Linked DNA regions of Rattus norvegicus. Each later gene encodes a partner of the first gene's protein in a complex. Links are inferred from orthologs where the notes say so. Each region holds a gene or a part of one and is shown on either strand. Other genes may lie near its edges. The genes, in order: Ntrk2, Frs2 and Ntf4.

What was found.
Region 2: the proteins of Ntrk2 (region 1) and Frs2 are in contact, whole or in part, in an NMR structure (PDB 2MFQ), measured with the Homo sapiens proteins. The link is inferred for Rattus norvegicus from reciprocal best matches to the Homo sapiens genes NTRK2 and FRS2. Residues at the interface, in NP_001018074.1 of Homo sapiens: Pro498, Asp499, Val501, Ile503, Gly504, Met505, Thr506, Lys507, Ile508, Pro509, Val510, Ile511, Glu512, Asn513, Pro514, Gln515, Tyr516, Gly518, Ile519; in NP_001036020.1 of Homo sapiens: Val26, Asp27, Asp28, Asp29, Gly30, Tyr59, Leu60, Cys61, Leu62, Arg63, Arg64, Tyr65, Gly66, Tyr67, Asp68, Ser69, Asn70, Leu71, Phe72, Ser73, Gly77, Arg78, Ile86, Ala88, Lys90, Phe98, Gln102, Met105, Gln106, Ser109.
Region 3: the proteins of Ntrk2 (region 1) and Ntf4 are in contact, whole or in part, in a crystal structure (PDB 1HCF), measured with the Homo sapiens proteins. The link is inferred for Rattus norvegicus from reciprocal best matches to the Homo sapiens genes NTRK2 and NTF4. Residues at the interface, in NP_001018074.1 of Homo sapiens: Phe291, Glu293, Thr296, Ser297, Asp298, His299, Cys302, Pro304, Thr306, His335, Val336, His343, Gly344, Cys345, Asn350, Thr352, His353, Met379, Gly380, Trp381, Pro382, Gly383; in NP_001382418.1 of Homo sapiens: Gly81, Val82, Ser83, Glu84, Thr85, Ala86, Ser89, Arg90, Arg91, Gly92, Glu93, Leu94, Ala95, Asp98, Ala99, Ser101, Gly102, Trp103, Thr105, Tyr135, Phe137.

The regions. Positions count from the first base shown.
Region 1 is NC_086035.1:5,566,088-5,571,679, reverse strand, and holds part of Ntrk2 (BDNF/NT-3 growth factors receptor isoform 1 precursor), read left to right. Parts: intron 1-3,481; coding exon 3,482-3,640; intron 3,641-5,301; coding exon 5,302-5,487; 3' UTR 5,488-5,592. UniProt on the Homo sapiens protein: Receptor tyrosine kinase involved in the development and the maturation of the central and the peripheral nervous systems through regulation of neuron survival, proliferation, migration, differentiation, and synapse formation and plasticity.
Region 2 is NC_086025.1:54,674,922-54,681,324, reverse strand, and holds the start of Frs2 (fibroblast growth factor receptor substrate 2), read left to right. Parts: upstream 1-2,668; 5' UTR 2,669-2,813; intron 2,814-2,976; exon of another isoform or gene 2,977-3,190; intron 3,191-6,403. UniProt on the Homo sapiens protein: Adapter protein that links activated FGR and NGF receptors to downstream signaling pathways.
Region 3 is NC_086019.1:105,027,383-105,033,763, forward strand, and holds Ntf4 (neurotrophin-4 precursor), read left to right. Parts: upstream 1-2,652; 5' UTR 2,653-2,725; intron 2,726-2,785; exon of another isoform or gene 2,786-3,254; intron 3,255-3,642; 5' UTR 3,643-3,763; intron 3,764-4,352; 5' UTR 4,353-4,364; coding exon 4,365-4,994; 3' UTR 4,995-5,484; downstream 5,485-6,381. UniProt on the Homo sapiens protein: Target-derived survival factor for peripheral sensory sympathetic neurons. May promote ameloblast differentiation and subsequent reduction in proliferation of ameloblasts.

The DNA.
Region 1 (5,592 bases):
ACTAAGGGCACTGAACAGCCAAGGAGTTACAGAAGGGAGGCTTCCTTAAAAAAAGGATACGTGAATCCACCTTAAAAAAAACAAAACAAAAATAAAAACAAACAAACAAACAAACAAAAAAAAACCACCTCGGCTACAGGGAGATCAGACCTTGCAAAAAGTATGAATAAGTTTTCCCTGGGCGAGCATCCATGACTCAGCTCTCTGACTGTACATAGAACATGTGTTTGGCCATCAAGAAAACCATCAGAACAAAGTGAAATTGGTTTGTATCTGGCTCTGGGCAAGCAAACCAGTATCTTCTCCAGAGAGTGGCTGTCCTGTCGGATACTTTGGGATAATTGAATGGAGATTCTTTGCAGAGGGTGAGAAGCCATCTGGGAATGGATGATTAGCAATGCAAAGTGGTGGTTTGTAGTTACAGAACTGTAGCAAATTGGAGTATCCGAGGGCTACCCTAACCCAATGCATTTAACCAGACAGAGCACCAGGAACAGCCCAGGGTGGTTGCTAGTAAGTAACGCATCAGGAACTAGAAACAGTTACTAAATCACTGGTCTCAGGGTTCCTCTCTCCATTTGTTCTACCCGCCTGCCCACAGGGAAGGGCGCTCAGCCTGCCCCACCCTGACTCTTGGAGCATCTCTCAGCATCCCTGGCTAGTGGGCAACCAGAGGCAGAAATTCAGACTCCCAGTGCCATACTTGAAAACTATATTCAGTCTTGCAAACATTTAAGCAAGGATGTGAGGGCAGGGCGCCAAGCAGTACAGTTCAGAACAAATGGCTCCCTGTACTCTGCAGTGAGAAGACTGTAGTTCTGTATGTCCCGAAAGCCGTGGAGTGATTACAACGGAAATATGACAGTCATTTGCTGCCACGGTGACTGTTTCTTTTGTGGGTCTCTTCTTGTGGCATGCCTGAAAATTCTGAGGAAAGAGCTGCAAAGGGCTGCGCAGGGTTGTTCTAAGTGGGCCAAGAAGATTGGTGGCTCCTGCATGAACTCTTGTTAGAATATCCCATTACTCATACGTTTGAAAGCAGGAGAAAGCATTCTCTACATAACATATGCGGAATCCCCACAGAGAACCTGGAAAGAAATAAAGACAAAAGGGGGAAAATATCTGACCCGAAGAACTCAAGCAGAAAAGAAATGTCGTGATCAGGAGATGTGGCGTAGCCTTGAAGTCACTGGCAGCTGGGGAATGTGGGAGTCCCGTGTGTTGGTTCTTTCTCATAATTTAGAGAAACTAGGACACAGACCAGTGTTACTGCTGGTCAGCATTGTCCATGTTGGAGATCAAAGTCTCCTCTGATCACAAATCGGTGGTGGATACAGTATGGCATTGTGGGTACTCGAGAAAAAAACAAACAAAAAAAATGTGGAAGAGCTCTCAAAATCAGCACACCCCAAAGTTTATAGACAGCCAGCTCTAGAAGGCCACAAATACACGTTGATTTGCTCCAGTAACCAGGAAAGTTAAATCTCTACCCATTTGTTGAACCTCTCAGATGCTTGAACACGCTCTGTGATTTCAATGTCCAAGAAAGGGCAAGCTACAGGCTGGCGGGGTAGGACCCGAGGACCCTGAGGCTGCTCTTACTGCTTGGGGCTGGTGTGCAAAGTCTGACACTTCGGTTCATGCTTCAACACGCGCTGATCACAACCTGGATTATAACTTGAGTATTTCCACAGAACAAATGACTGTATCTTTTCCCCCACTAACCCCCCCCCCCCATCTAGTTCCAGGCTTTGCTGGCTCCTCTACCATGCAGTTGGTGCTTTTGCCTTTCAGGATTTCCGAGAAGCACATTTATAAATGGCTCTTACAGAAAGACCTGCAGAAGAAGTAACTGAAAGACAGGTGCCCGTCTCCAGCCCTGAGCCTTCCCGGAAATATTAGCAGACACTTGACCTTCCTGTTTGAGATTCTCCCCTTCAGATGCCTTAACACACTTAGCACAGCCACAAGACAAAGCTACAGATTGTGACTTGTCACTCTGAACGGTTCACTGTAACCCCTGGAGGATCTGTTTTTTATGGTAATGAGACATAAGGACAGACACACAAGGGAGGCTGGGGTACTCTTGGCACTTGCTAAGGCAAACTAATCAGGTAGGAGTGCTTTTTTTGATGAAAAGAAAGAAAAGTTGCAGTTGGTAAGACAAGAGTAAGATCTGGGATGGTTAACCCCTTTGACCTCCCGTCTAAGCACTGTCCTATGTAGAGCTGTATTTAGGGCCTCATGAGGCCCAGCACATTTATGCTGTGTGAATGAGAAAGGCCAGGGGAGACAGCCAGGCCTTAGAGTTGTCTGCCCCATGTGTCAAGGCTAACCAGCGGTGCAGTCTCACGTGTGTTCGATGGGGAAAGGGCAGACGTCCGTAAACCGTGGAAAGCTTTCAAAATGTGTTCTGAGGGAAGACCACGCACGGAGGAGGCAGGACTGCTGCACGACATGAGGAGCTACTGGAAAATGCGTGTGCCAGGGTTCTCTGACCTTTCTGGACTATGGCTAGGGGAGGATGGGTATCAGGCTTGGGAAGCATCAGAACCAGTCTTCACTCTGCTGTGGCTAAGGCCACCAGGTCCTGGGACGTCATTTACCCTCAGGCCACGAGTCCTTCCGAGCACTGGGAAATGTTGGGCCTTCCATGAACTTCAGCGGTTACTCATTGTCTGAGCGGTCGGTCAGCTGAGGACTCACAGTCAGGCTACACCACACTGCACTGTACTTCCTCCTGGTTGGGCAGGATTTGTGCCCCCATGGTTTATGGCCCTAGGAGGAAATGACAGCAGACCCATGGGCAGGTTCATCTCCTTTGTATAGAAAGTCACAAACCCATACTGAGAATGGAAGCTGGGCGGTGCCTCTAGGAGCTGTCCATCTTGAACCATGTCTAATTCAGGCCCTTGAGTGTCCCTGCCCATGGCCTCAGTAGTGCCAGGGTGGCTGTCAGTCAAGTTTCTGTGGTTGCACAGATGCTATCTCCAGGTGACACTGGGCTTCTGTTTTTACTAAAATGGGTGTTTTTCTTTGAAAAGTAAATTTATCCATGAGTCGCATCACCCTATCATAGATGAGACTCTAAAGTCTCGATACAAAACCTCAGTTGTTTGTCAGTAAAATGGGAATACTAACTTCCATCCTGGGCACCGCTAGGCTGGGATGAAGAACCCTTTGCTTGTTACCTTGGTCAAAATTATCACATTGATTAGTGGATGAATGGATGGGTTGATTCTCCCACCGAAAAGTGCACAAGGGCTTTCTTAAATCCAAAATGGACATCAACTTAATGCCCTCTGCTCTCCTCTGGCTTCGAGAAGAGGAGAACTGCAAATGACATTTATAACATTGTCTCCACCATTCTCTACCCTCCGACTCCATTACCTCGGCGCCCCTTGAGGGAGCCACCTCCCCGTGGCCACCCTCCACACTGGTTCCAGATGACTGACCATCCTATTGATGCCTCCCCTGACAGGTTGGTGGCCACACAATGTTGCCCATCCGATGGATGCCTCCAGAGAGCATCATGTACAGGAAATTCACCACCGAGAGTGACGTCTGGAGCCTGGGAGTTGTGTTGTGGGAGATCTTCACCTACGGCAAGCAGCCCTGGTATCAGCTATCAAACAACGAGGTGGGCAGTTGTCTGGGAGAGATCCCACCCTGCATGCATACACACACACACACACACACACACACAGAGAGAGAGAGAGAGAGAGAGAGAGAGAGAGAGAGAGAGAGAGAGAGCTGGGAACCAGGACATGGCCACTTGTGGCTTTGTTTGACTCAACAGCTTCCCCAGAGACTGACTGGAGAAAGAGAGTCACTACCTTTTCTGACCCAGCCTCGCCCCTTCTAAGGACAGGGCCGAGGGATGATTTTACATTGCTCACTGTCCAACAAATCAAGGGCAGCCTCAGTGGCCCGTGCTCCTCAGTCTGGCCGGAGTTCCTGCACTGTTCCAGAGAAGTCGCCACGCCCTTCCCCTTTGCAGATTCTGCCAGAACCCTAACCACTAAATGAAAAAAATCTCAAGCAATCTGTTTGCCTATTCTGATTCCTTTTCGAAATATCATAACCCATTGAAATTCTGAGAACCACACACAACCCCAGACCAAATTTAGAACACTCAAATTCCTAATACCCAACGATAATGTCCGATCCCCCAAGCCACCCTGGTATCTTCTTTCATGTGGGTCATCTCCAGCCTACAGCAACAGTACACTATGGGAATAGCAAGCACGCAGTGGGTCATCTCCAGCCTACAGCAACAGTACACTATGGGAATAGCAAGCACACAGTGGGTCATCTCCAGCCCACAGCAACAGTACACATTAGGAATAGCAAGCACACAGTGGGTCATCTCCAGCTTACAGCAACAGTACACTATGGGAATAGCGAGCACACGCAGTGGGTCATCTCCAGCTTACAGCAACAGTACACATTAGGAAGAGCAAGCACACAGTGGGTCATCTCCAGCCTACAGCAACAGTACACATTGGGGATAGCAAGCACACAGTGGGTCATCTCCAGCTTACGGCAACAGTACACATTGGGGATAGCAAGCACGCAGTGTGTTTAGGGAGTAATGACAAGAGGAACATCTGCATGTGCCCAGTATGGGTGTCGTTCTCCTCACGGATTCCCAGTCTGCTGCTGTTTGGGTGCACGTCTGGAGCCCGTGGATACCGAGAGACGGCAGCACGTCTGTGTGACGTGTAGCACTTCTGTCAGGTGTCTCCAGTCTCTCTCACATCCATGCGTTTTTAAACCCAGCCCTGATAACCAGTGATCCTAATCACTTCTGCTGTCAGGGTGTCCCTGTCAGTCCTCACTTCACACAAAACTCAGGCTCTACCCTTACTCAGTAAAACCCAGAATTTCTGTGTGGAATTCAGGTGACCCTTTGTGAATAAATTGTGCCTATACCAGTTTTGTGAAATCATAGTGGCTCTCCTCCTTGTGAGAAAACAGCGAGAGGGCTTCCTCTGAGGCTGAGGCAAGAGGGTCATGAGTTCAAGGCCAACATGGGCTACATAGCAAGACCACACCTACAAACGAAAGCCTTTTCTGTTGGTAAAGGGTTAAGAAGATACACATGCTAATTGTCCTGACCTAATCAGCACACACCAGTGTCCCTGTAAGCACAGATTATCCAGAGATAAGCGTTGTGATCAGGCTTGACTTTCAAAGAGTGAAAGAAAGGAGAGGCCCTTCCTGACTCCTCCCTTCTGCACTGGCCTTCCTACCTGCTTGGCTCTGGTCCTGCTAATCCTGCCCCTGGTCTCCCTCCAGGTGATAGAATGCATCACCCAGGGCAGAGTCCTTCAGCGGCCTCGCACGTGTCCCCAGGAGGTGTACGAGCTGATGCTGGGATGCTGGCAGCGGGAACCACACACAAGGAAGAACATCAAGAACATCCACACACTCCTTCAGAACTTGGCGAAGGCGTCGCCCGTCTACCTGGACATCCTAGGCTAGACTCCCTCTTCTCCCAGACGGCCCTTCCCAAGGCACCCCTCAGACCTCTTAACTGCCGCTGATGTCACCACCTTGCTGTCCTTCGCTCTGACAGTGTTAACAAGA
Region 2 (6,403 bases), on another chromosome or scaffold:
ATTGAAAATAGAGATTAAATCGCTTACTCAATGCTGCGTGGCTGGGTGGTGGAGCCGCTGGAATTTGCTTCTCCGGGCTCCAGCCACAAAGTGGAAAGCGCAAGAGCTTTGGAATTAGGGGGATCTTTGAGCAATCCCGTTTCTACCCCGGAACAAGAATGTGGCCTTAAGTCAATTACTTCACCTCGGTCTCAGCTATTCCCATTTGTAAAAGTGAGACCATAAAACCTCACAGCACATCGAAGATTAATTTAGAAAAACGCACGTAAAGCCTCCGACACCACCAAGCAGGTCTCAAGTAAGGTTTGTTTCACCCCACCCCCACCTCAGAATCATCTGGTTTGGTGTCAGTACAAATCGAAAAGAAGTCTCCCATTAAAACTCATTTTCCCCATTTTTATCTCATGTGGAAAGAAAAGAATGAATAAGACTGCTCTAAAATGTCATTTAGTTAACGGGAAGCCTTGTTTTCTCTTCTCTTTCTTCCTTTCTTTCTTTCTTTTTTTTTTTTTCTCCTGACTACGAGTGTAGCTCAGCGGCATTTGCTTCCAATGGGCTTAGAGACAGACTTGAATCCCCAACACTACAAAACTAACACTCCTCTCCCCGCAACAAGAAGGATCCCAAGCTGTAGATTTGCCACAACTAAGAAAAGAATATGCAAAAGATAGGCTACTAGAATGCTGTAGTTCTTTAACTCCACCTTTTATCAGATGCCCTGGTTGGGGAGGAGGGACTTTTTTAAACTAGTTTTAAACTAGGATTGTTGCGTCTAATCCTAGAGTTACAGCTTTACAAGGTGTGGGCGGGGCCTGGTAATTTGCATCTTTAATAAGTTCCCAGGTGATGTTGAGCTGCCAGACCAGGGACACACCTTGAGAGGCACTACCCTGGGTAAGTGAAAGGTTGGGGATGGGGCCCAGCAATTTGTTTAACAAGCCCTCCAGGTGATTGCCATGCACTTTCAAGCTTGAGAATTGGCTGGCAGCGTGGCGAAAAGCATCTGAGAACACAGATTCACTTTTAAATCCAGGCTTCACCACTTACCAGTTATATGACAGTCTGTGATTGAGGGTTCCCTTCTCTAGGTCTCTAGGCCGTGTGTGTGTGTGTGTGTGTGTGTGTGTGTGTGTGTGTGTGTGTGTGTGTGTGTGTGTACACGCGCGCCCCCGCACGTGTGCTTGTGCCTGGGATTGGGGGTGGGTATGGGTATGGTAAATGGCTGGAGACAGCCGAAGTTTTGCCTGTGCAGGCTCAATTTTTTTTTTTTTCCTTCAGTCTACTAGGAGGCTGCTTGAACTTGAGAATTCTGGACGTATTTACAAACATTTCTGCAATTACATAAAACACAAGGCAGTGCTTTAAATAAAGCAATAGTGATGGGATTGTTTGCATCTTGAATTTGTAATAAGGGGTTTTCTTTTACCCTGCCTTTCTCAAAACAGAATGTTTTAAAACTGTTCCCTGCAGTATTGAACAGACACTATGCATGCTAAAATAACTTTTTCTTCCTTCTTCCCCCCCACCCCCATGTCTTTTTGGACAAGAATTTTGCTACATAGTCCTGGACCCTTTTTTCTGGAAACTCACTGTAAAGCCTAGGCTGGCCAGAAACTCTCCGAACTCTCCCTGCCTCAGCCTTTTTAGACTGCTGGAAATACAGAAACAAATTACCTCGCCAGGCTTGGGCCCTTTTCTTCTTTGTCGGGTTTCACTTCAGACTGAAAACCTGCCTTCAATATTTGATGCATTTCTTGATTTTGTGGCAGAGGAAATCATCTTTTAAGATGGTCTCTCTTCCCTGCCTGACATCTGGCTCTCATACTGTCTTTGGTCAGTTTCAAAAGTGCCCAGGTCTTCTCTATTGCTTGTTACTGGTTAGGTCTAAGAATTGTGTGGACTTATTCAGTCCTGGGTACTCTGAAATGTTTACCATGCATTATATTATTTTTAACTTCTACGATCCAGAGATGAACATACCCCAGGGTGAAATGTAAAGTAACAGGATTCTGGCCTTAAGATTGTAGAGCTCATCATCTCAGACTTTGTTGAAGGTGCAAAGGATGACCGATATAGGGAAATACAGTTTGGCTCCTGTCTTAGAATAATTCGAAAAAGTCTTGTTTGGGGCAAATGAGATTTCTACGAATACCACAAATTAAAGTAAAACCAAGAGCCAGCATATGTGGTAACGTTTGATACCTGGCCGGTTTCCTTCCTGGTAAGGCATAGAGAATAAAAGCACCAATTTCCAGGAGTTTGAAGGTTATTAAAAGAGTTAATGCCGCCGAAGCGCGTAATGATTGTACTCTCTACCACGCCGTAAGCCTTCCTTCCATAAATGTCAACTGCATTTTCAAGCGGGACAGAAGCGAGTAAGGATAACACCGCGGGCCAGTTGGCAAGCCGGGTGAATGCATTGGGCTAAACTAGATTCTCCGAGCTTCTGTAAAACTAGGTGGCTGGAAGGGAAAGATCCTAACAGCCGTTAAAATAAGGGGTGTCAGCCGTAGCCTGGGGCCCGCGGGACCACGGGTTAGCAAGGAGCCCGGGGGCGGGTCCGCTGGCGCTGGGAACGGAGGCTCCGCCCCTCCCGGGAGGGCTGGCAGCTCCAGCCTGGGAGCAGTTCCGGTGCCAAAACCCTGCCCTCCCCCGCTCCCCCGGAAGTGCTTGCCTAGGGTTCGGGCTGGAGAAAGGCCTGGTAGATACAGGCGCCGAGGCTCCGTCGGCTCGGAGTAGGGGGTCGGGTCGCGGAGAGAGTGAGGAGCTCTGCGGCCGCTACCCCGCGCCCTCGCAGCGCCTTCGCGCCGACGGTGAGTAGCCGGGGAAGCCGAGCGGGGCCTGCGCCGGGCGGGCGAGCCTCGGACCCGGCTGTCCACAGCAGGTTCAGCTGTCGGGGTCCGAAAAGGGGGTCGTCGGCCACCGCGGAGCGCGCGCGGCCCGCGGGCCGGGAAGAGGCGCGTTGCGGGGCCGCGGAGTGGGCGGGGCGCAGCAGGAGCGGGTTCCCGGAGCCCCGGCCGCTAAGGGGACTCCTGAGTGGGGCCGGGCCGTCCGCTCTGCTACCACCTCTTTGCTCGGGCAAGTAGGCTCGGTGCCTCCGCTGTGGGGTCTGTGCACCCGGGCGCTGGGGACCTGAACAGCAAGACTGTCCCGGACATCAGTGCCCGACTTTCGTCGCCTCTTGGCTTGGGTCTGTCCTCCCTTCCCGGCTCAGTAATTATCGTGTGTCTCCCAGGGGTGTAGTCTCAATCCGAGGGTGGGGCGCTCCCTCTGTGGATGCTGGCAATCTCGTGCGGGGCTTTTCATCTAGATCTGCGTCAGGGTCGCCAGGGTTCGATTTGGACTCGAAACATAACAGAGTCTGGATGCCTGCATAGGGTCGGTCATTGAGACTGTATGGTTCCTCGAAGGGTTTTTCGCTCACTTGAAAGTTGAAACTGTTGGGAGTTACTTCTTAAAAACAAAGGTTTGAGGAGAATCGTAGATTCATATGAGTTTCCCCGTGTTCTTGCTTACGTAAAGGGGAAAAAAAGATGCTATTCTCTAATCAGCCTTCCGAATTCCTGCGCTCATCCGAAGACACAGTTTTAAGAGTTCAGTCGGGACCTTGCACAAGTTGACTGCGAAGGGCTGGAAAATGGTATCCTTTTCTACCCCAGTTTGAAAATCTTGTAGGCACTGTTAATAAACGAAGTTTAGGTGATAAACTACCGATGAAAGGTTTATAGGAAATAATGGAGCTATTTTTCGCTTTTTTTTTGAGTTTTAAATTATAATCAGATAGTTTATTTGTTGCAGATGACCTTGTAGTGTCACGTATACACAAGTCATCTTCATGAAAGCAGTGACATTATCTGTACTTCTTATTGTGCTGACGTTAGCGTTCATACTGTTTTGTTTTTGTCTTGTCTGTGTCTCTCTCTTTCTTGTACTTATTCTCTCTCCTTGCACTACTGGAAGGGAAGATAGTATTATGAATGAGGGGAATGATCTGAAGTGACAAGTTCCATAAACTGTCTTATGCAAAAGAAAATTTATTTCATTAAAAAAGTTCTCTGTGTGTAATGCCAGAGGTTCACATTGGCTGTCTCCATAGAATAACCCATCGTTGTGATCATTATCATGATCATCCTCATCATCATTTTGAGAGAGGGTTTCCTGAGCTTGGAGCTTGTCCTTTTGGCTAGAGCCAGCAAGCCCCAGGGGCCCTCCTGTGTTTACCCCGTGTGCCCAGTCCAGGTCTAGCGGTTATAGGCACATGACCCCAGCATCTAGTTTTTATGTGGGTGCTGTAGATGCCAATCTGGGTCCTCATGCTTGTTCAGCAAGCTCTTTGCATGCAAGCAATCTCTCCAGAACCCCCAAATCTGTGTCAAGGTTGTTGACAGAAAACAAAGGGGATGCATTTTTTATGCGTGTGGGAAAATGTGAGGATAAGTTGCACAGTGTTTAGACTCGGATAGATGTGTCAGCCTCTTAGTATATGAGGTACTCAGTTGTTCAGAGCCCAAGGTTGGGATGTTGAATTAAAGTCTGGGAAATGAGTCAAGTTATGTATTTCTATTCTGCATATAGTGTATTTTGAAGGAAAACACTATAGGAGTTAATGAAAGCATAAGAAATAGGTGAAAAGCAGATACTTTCAGGCATTGTAACTTTTTTTAAAAGACCTATTTATTTTATGTATGTAAGTACACTGTCACTCTCTTCAGACACACTGGAAGAGGGCATCGGATCTCATTACAAATGGTTGTGAGCTACCATGTGGTGGCTGAGATTTGAACTCAGGACTTCTGGAAGAGCAGTCAGTATTCTTAACCGCTGAGCCATCTCTCCAGCCCTAGGCATTGTAACTTTTAACTATTGCTCAAGTCAATTCAAATGATACTGAGCATTTTCTATGCATCAGACTCTTTTAGTGAACCATGTAGGGAAAAACAAAGACAAAGCCATTATAATTTCAGATTCATGTTTTGATAATCTTCCAAGGTGTGTTGAAATCGTGAAGAATTGAATTGTACTGTCTAGGAATATTCACCCTCCTCTGAATTGGGACTTAATTTGGAGGGGGCTGTTGATCGCTTTATGAAGCATACTGTGCTAGGCACTCTTGAATCACAAGGTTAAGTTTGGCCTTTAGGAATTTGAATCTAGTGGGGATGTAAGATACTGGTATAGAAGTTTACAGTATAAATAAATATGTGTCTGGAGATGGTGGCATGCGAGCGGTGCCAAAGGAGTCACAGGCAAGATGATGGATGGTAAGCTACTAGTTAGGCTGACCCTGTTTACAACAAATGAAGACTGAAAACAAAAAGCGTATGTAAACACTTAACCGCATAGATGGGTTTATCTAAAGTTTGGGCTTCTATAAAAGCAAAATGTTTGTTCTATAGTGTAAGTCATACTTTACAACACAAAGGCACGGCAACACTTGTTAGGGTAGGTCAGTGCAATGATTTATTGGGTGCTTAGTTCTGTTATAGTTGTGTTTTCTTTTTTCTTTTTTCTTTTTTTTTTTTTTTGGTTCTTTTTTTCGGAGCTGGGGACTGAACCGAGGGCCTTGCGCTTCCTAGGCAAGCGCTCTACCACTGAGCTAAATCCCCAACCCCATAGTTGTGTTTTCTTAACAATATAGAAGCTTCTTTCTTTTGAGACAGGGGTCTCCCTGTGTAGGCATCGCTCTGAATAGTCAGGATACCATCATCTCAACTATGTCTAGTAACTCCCCCTACAGTTATGTGACTAGCAGAACTGTCTGTATTTGAAGCCACATCTGCCTTGTCAGAGAGCTGGTATTTCTACTTCATGGTGCTACTTCCCAACAAGCTTGTATTCTTTTTATTTATTGTGGTTTCTGAGACAGGGCCTCCTACATCTCAAGTAGGCCTAGGGATGAACTTGAACTTGTCATCTGCAGCCTAGCCCTCCTGCGTCTGTTTGGGAGTACAGGCATGTCCTACTCTACCTTGCTCTTAAACTGGCAATCTTAAATTAATTGGTGACTGAGGGTTAAACTCTACTGAAACAAATATTCAGGAGTAGGATTTGTGGATAAGGAAGGCCTTTCATATTAAGAGAACGACAATTTAGAGATGAGAAGGCTCATGATGTGGAGAAAAGTGTCTCAGATGACCTGGATGGTTTATTTTGGAATTAGAGATGAAGTTTGCAATTTAAGTCAAGGCTGGATTGTGGAGCATGTTTAGATGCTATATTTGAAGCTCAACACTTTGAAGAAAACAAGAAGTGTGTACCTTGCAGCAGTTTAGTATGCGGAGTGATTTGTTATAGTAAGCTACTAATAGACTACTGTGCACACTGTGAGTGATGCTGGTGGAGCGAGGACAAGAGCCCAGCAGGCTGGAGAGGAGAGCTGTAGGAGGCAGCAGTGAAAAGCCAC
Region 3 (6,381 bases), on another chromosome or scaffold:
AGGGGACCCATTTCTATGTTGTCCCATGCTGTAGTACAGAGATTCAGAGACTGGAGCCCCAAGGAAAGAAAACGCAGTAGGGGAAGAGTAGGTATCTGGAAAAGATGTGGCAGGAGACAGAGATCTAGAAGGAGAGAGAATGATGGAGAGAAGGAAGAGGAGAGGGGGAGGGAAGGGAAGGGAAGAAAGGATGGAGGGAGGGAGGGAGAGACAGAGAGGGGGAAGAAATCAATCATGAGAGATGGACACCCAGTGACAGATATCAGACATGCAGAAGAGGGAGGTGTGCGTGAGAGGTGGGTGTTTCGAGAGAAACCTGGAGCCCAAGGGTCTCCCTCTCTGCTCTCTGAGTCATAACAGACTCTAAGCCATGGTGTCAGCATCCCTTCCAGCCAAGGAAGGTCACCATAATCCTGGAGGTGCCCTGTGTTTCCTAGGACAGAAACCCAAGGCTGTAAAGTGCTGTGGCTTCCCCCAAGGTTACCCAGCACGTCATAGGGCCAGGGCTGGTGGCAGGTGGCCTACCTGTGACACCCCCACAACTTCTGGTATTCAGGTATTGCCCAAGGCCACTGGTCCTGTGTCTTTTGTTTTGTTTTAATCCTTTGAAACAGGGTCCCTCTATGTAGCCCTGGCTGTCCTGGAACTCACTATGTAGACCAGGCTGGCCTTGAATTCACAGAGCTCCTCCTGTCTCTGCCTCCCAAGTGATAAGATTAAAGCTGTGGGAAGGTCACCATGTCTGGCAAGACCCTGCCTCTTCTAGGAGGAAGCTGATATTGGAGGGAACAGAATTACCCTAAGCTCCAGGGAAACATTTTTGGAGTCTCCTGGGACTGAGACACATTCTGGGGAGCAGGAGAGGTCACAATCACTAACAAGAGTTCAAGGTATTTGACTGGCATTAACTTATTAAAACCTGTTCACCGGTGCCTAGTGTTGAGTTATTTTTGATAACGATGTCACCTGCTGTAGTCATATGAACTCTTGCTTAAGACCTGAAGGTGAGGCATCTTAGAGGGGCTGTCAGGAGGATTTGGCTCCTCTGAGCCATCTGAGCCATGAGCCATCAGGGAAAGGATGTGGGGAGCCATCTTCACCACCCATATTACCATATGAGAGAGAGGAAGGAGGGACAGTGGCAAGGGTGTGATGTAAAGGACATGACAGAATCTCAAGGTGGGCACAGCACTCCAACAGACCCACTGTCGCAGAAATGGAGATGGATCTGCACACAGGGACCAAAGACAGATGTAGGACACGGACACCATCACAGAATACAGGGAAGAGGTGCTGGGGGCAGAGGGGGAAGCAGGCCCTGGAGAGAAAACAGATGCCAGGCAGAAGGGAAAACAGCTCAGAGAACAGGAGAGGGAAGGGAGGGGAGGAGAGAAGGAGAGGGAGGGAGAGAGGGGGAGAGTCAGAGAGAGAAACGGAGACAGAGAAACAGACAGACAGACCGACAGACAGAGGGAGAGAGAGAACCAAGACAAAAGACAGACTTTCTCCCTCTTTATAGCCTTCTCCCTTGATGCCCAGAGACTGGAGTTGGGGCCCCTTGGGAGGGATGGACAGTGTCAGGAAAGAATGAAAGGTCAGAGAGGTGACCCAAATGGACACCCAGACTAGGAAGTGTCCCATCCCACTGCCAGTAAACAACTGGAGTGGGGTCTGAGTCACCCTGGCTGGGATGGCACCTTGAGGGGAACACCCTAATCCGGGGACACCCTTCCTGCCACTTTGCCATGCTATATTTAGGTTGGGGGGATGGGTGCTGGGTGACCCCCCCAAAGGCGAGTGTCAGCTTTCCTCCTAAATATAGCTCGGGGGTAGGGGAACTGGAGTCCTAGAGTGGGGGCATGGCAGAGGAAAGGGCCCTGCCACCCTGGGGCCCTTCTGTTGCAGGCACACTCTGCTTGAGGTCTCTTCAGCATCCCGCCTTTCGTTCTGAGGTCCACCCGTTGGGGTGTTTTCCTCCTCCTAGGGCTGTCTCTCTGGCTGGGTTCCCCCCCCCCCCCCGTCTTCCTTGTGGTCACAGCTGTTTCGCTAGGGAGGTCACAGTTCTGAAAACCCATCATGGTCTCCTCGCTCTAATTACCTTTAAGTTTTCTTATCCACCCCAAGACTTCCTGGTCCCCGGCCAAGAAATTCCAGGATAGAAGACTATGTGGGGGAGCCCGGACAGTCACTGTCTCCAAGAATTGAGCCTTATCACTGCACAAGCCCAGCTGGCTAATGTCTGGCTGGGAGACCCAGAAGGGGAGACAGGAGCGGAGGGTGGGAACCTGCACTAGACACCATAGCAATTCCAGGCCTGAATCCAGGTCTGAAGGGAAGGGTTGGGGTTCTGAACACTGAGTCCAAGGGAGGAGGACTGGGGTCTGGACCCCTGTGTCTGAAGGAGGGCTGAAGCCTGGACCTTCGGGTCTAACGTAGGAGGGGTTGGGTGTGAACCCCAGTGTCTGATGGAGGAGGGTTACAGCCTAGACTTCTAGAACTGAAGTGGCCAAGGCCGGGCTTCCGAGGTGCCGGCCCGCGCGTGCTAGGCGGGATCCGCCGCCCCTCCTCCGCCGTCGGGCGCCGCCCCGCCTCCTCCCAGACCCAGGCCCTCCCAAGCGCAAACGGCGAGCAGCCGGCGAGCAGCGGGCGTCCGAGCTGCTAGCGAGCCGGAGGAGGAGCCGCAGCGGCGCCAGGGGCAGCCGGGGAGCAGAGAAGGGCGCCCCAGGTAAGAGCTCCGCGCCTCCTCTGGCAGATTCGGTCCAGGTCGCCCGGCCCCCGGGTAGGGAGGGACGGGGGCGGGGCCGACGGGGGCGGGGTTTGGCGAAGGAAACTGAGGCAGGACGGAAGTCTCCCAGAGTTGGAGCGGGTCCCCCTCCAACCGACTCAAGAGCAGGGACCCCCAGCCCAATTTTCTTGGATGTGAAAGCAGGGAATCTCCATTTATGAGTATCTTGGAGGAGGGGCCGCAACCCTAGAACCTGTGGGTCTGAGGGAGGAGGCGTCTGAAGTCCAAGAAACTTAGTCTGCAGGAGGAGGCATCTGGGGAACCAGGTCACCCTCGCTGAGGGAGGATGGTTCAGGGGCCTTGGGCCCCTGGGTCTGAGGAAGGAGACAGCTGTGGGCCTGCACACAGTCTGACGGAGGAGGCAGCGGGCACCCTCACTCCCTGTAGTGGTGTGGTAAACCTCTGCCCCTGATCACACTCAACACTTCCCATTCCCCCACCTCGGAGCCTGGCCAGCCAGACACTCCAGGTATGCGCAGTCGGAGTCTTGGGCGGGCCCTGGCCTGTCCTGCGAGGAGCGAACATTCCAGGAAGCAGCCTCAGGGACCCAGAGCGTGGGTCGGCGGGGACCCGGGTGTCCAGGCCAGCTCCACCCCCGCCGCGTTTAGTAGAGGAACGGGAGGAGGGGATGTAATCTCTTCCAGTTGCCTCACCTGCCCCTCCTCTCTGCCCCCATCTGCTTCCCATCCCTCCAAAGCTGTCACCTGCACGGGGGAGGGGGGGCGTCCTCTGGAGGTGGGCGGAGCCTCTACTCCAGGGTACCCTAGGCTTTCAAAGACTCTGGAAAGATATCTTTTTATGGAGCGGTTGCACCCTTCCCCCTACCGCCTATGTAACTGGTTTCCTTCCTCCCACAGGTGGTTGCCCCCTCCTTCTCCTGAGATGTCAGGGAGGAGACTACCTGTATCCTACACAGGGGCCCCACACAGCCTGGGGGCCCCCAGCCCCAGAGTGAGGAGGTGGAGGTGCTGTTGACAGGTCTGGTATTCATTCACCTGCTGCTTTCCAGTCCTGGCCCAGCTTCTAGAATGTTCTAGTCTCTCCATCTCCCTCCCAGCATCTCCCAGCAGCCGAGTCAGTCTCATACTCAGGGAAATTAAAGCCTTGAAAACCGCAGGATTCGAGGGCTCCTTCAGGTTATAGGACCACGAAGGCCAAGTGGCATTGCACAGAGTTCAAATCTGACCCACGCCACTTCCCCCGGCTGCGTGACCCGGTGGAAAGCATTTCTCCTTGTGTTTGACTGTACTGCCTTAGCTGACGTGGAACTCATGTAAACGGGACAGGCTTCAAACTTGTGGCCACCTTCTGCCTGTGCCTCCTGGTTGCTAAGGCTACAGGTGTGCATCACCACACCCAATTTTGTCTATTTATTTACATTAACTGAATACTTATCATTAACCTAAAAGCTAAGCATTCCACCAGTTCTAGAGCATAAGGTACCCCTAAGGTCCTCCCATAGTCTACCAAGCTGATATCTGCCCACGGGTGGGGCAGGAGGAGGGGTCCCTGACTTCTGTCACTAGTGTTGTCCTTCTCTAACAACAACCTCTTTCTCCATCTTCAGGTGTGCAAAGCCATGCTCCCTCGCCACTCCTGCTCTCTCCTCCTTTTCCTTCTCCTCCTCCCCAGCGTCCCCATGGAGCCCCAACCCCCCTCCTCCACCCTGCCCCCTTTTCTGGCTCCTGAGTGGGACCTCTTGTCTCCCCGAGTGGCCCTGTCAAGGGGCACCCCTGCCGGGCCCCCTCTCCTCTTCCTGCTGGAGGCCGGGGCCTATGGGGAGCCGGCAGGGGCCCCAGCCAACCGCAGCCGGCGCGGGGTGAGTGAGACGGCACCGGCAAGCCGCCGGGGTGAGCTGGCAGTGTGCGATGCAGTGAGTGGCTGGGTGACCGACCGGCGGACAGCTGTGGACTTGCGTGGGCGCGAGGTGGAGGTGCTGGGCGAGGTGCCTGCGGCAGGTGGCAGTCCCCTGCGTCAGTACTTCTTCGAGACGCGCTGCAAGGCCGAAAGCGCTGGGGAAGGTGGCCCAGGTGTGGGCGGAGGGGGCTGTCGCGGCGTGGATCGGAGGCACTGGCTCTCAGAATGCAAGGCTAAACAGTCCTATGTGCGGGCGTTGACTGCAGACTCTCAGGGCCGCGTGGGCTGGCGCTGGATTCGGATCGACACCGCTTGCGTCTGCACGCTCCTCAGCCGAACAGGCCGTGCCTGACGTCCAGGCTTGGGAACCGCTCAGGTTGAGGAGGAAAAAAAAAACCCTGGATGCTGAAAGGACCACAGGGATGGCTCGACTGCTCTACCGTGCCTTCTGACTGTGAACTGAAATAACCACAGAATCAAATCTCTCTCATTTTGAGAGCTCAGTCTGTGTGGAATGTATGAGGAAACCAAATGGGGTTTCAACTGATGAATAGGAGTTCTCCCGAAGGAACTTGACATTAATAATAGCCAATGTTTACTATCTACTGTGTATCAGACCTAATGTGTGACTCTGCTAACCATTTTAACATCAGAGGACCCTGACTTACCCTGGCAAGAGAGACGAGGAAAGACTACGTGAAAAATCAATGTATGAGCTGGGGCTAGGCCTCGATCAGTAGGCTGTTTCTGGTTGCCTAGCATGCACACAGTCCTGGGCTCTATCCTGAGCACCGTATCATAAACCATGCACGGTGGTACTCATCTGCAGTGCCAGTTCTTGGGAGGAAAAGACAGGTGGATGAGGAGTTTGTGGCCATCCTCAGCTACATAGGGAGTTTGAAGCCAGTCTTGTCTATATGAGGGTCTATCTTAATAAACTAAAAAGACCTGGGACTGGGTGTTATGACATGTACCTGTAGTCCTAATACTTGAGAGGCTGCAGACAGAAGAGTGCCTGGAGGTCCAGGGCAGCTTGGGTTACATACTTTTAAACTGACCTGTCTGGGGCAAGGGCAAATGGGTCATATGGGAAAACAAAAGAAGCGACTAGCCCTGGAACAGTGAGGATGTGATCAGGGAAAGGCAGTGAATTCCCCAGGAGCCTAGGTTTACCGGGGAAGTCTGACCTGACTAAGGTGTGCAAGCGTTCTGTGGAATACATCCATCCATCCTGCCCTAAGTAGTGAGCCCAACCCCACGAGGAGTGCAAGCACAGACACCTCACATCTGGAACGGCCCTTAGTCTTTTTGTTCAGCTCTGATGTGGAGACAGTCTCCTCATGCAGCTCAGTGGAGGGCAGACCTTGAACTCCCCCCACCCCACCCAAGACAGGGTTCTCTGTGTAGCCCTGGCTGTCCTGAAACTCGATCTGTAGACCGGGTTGGCTTCAAACTCAAAGAGCTGCCTGTCTTTTTCTCCCTAACACTGCCGTTAAAGGCTTATATCACCACTGTGTGGCTCGACTTTGAATTTATCTTCTGCTTCTGCCTCCCAAGTGCTTTCATTAAAATGTATGTGGTGCTGAGGATGCAATTGATCCAGGACTTCCTGCGTGCTAGGCAAGCCCTCCATCATCTGACCCCCCCCCCCCTTTAATGCTGTGGAACACATCCTCATGAAACTCAGGCTGGCCTAAAACTGGAATGTTACTGAGGATGACCTTAGTTTTTTTTCTCTT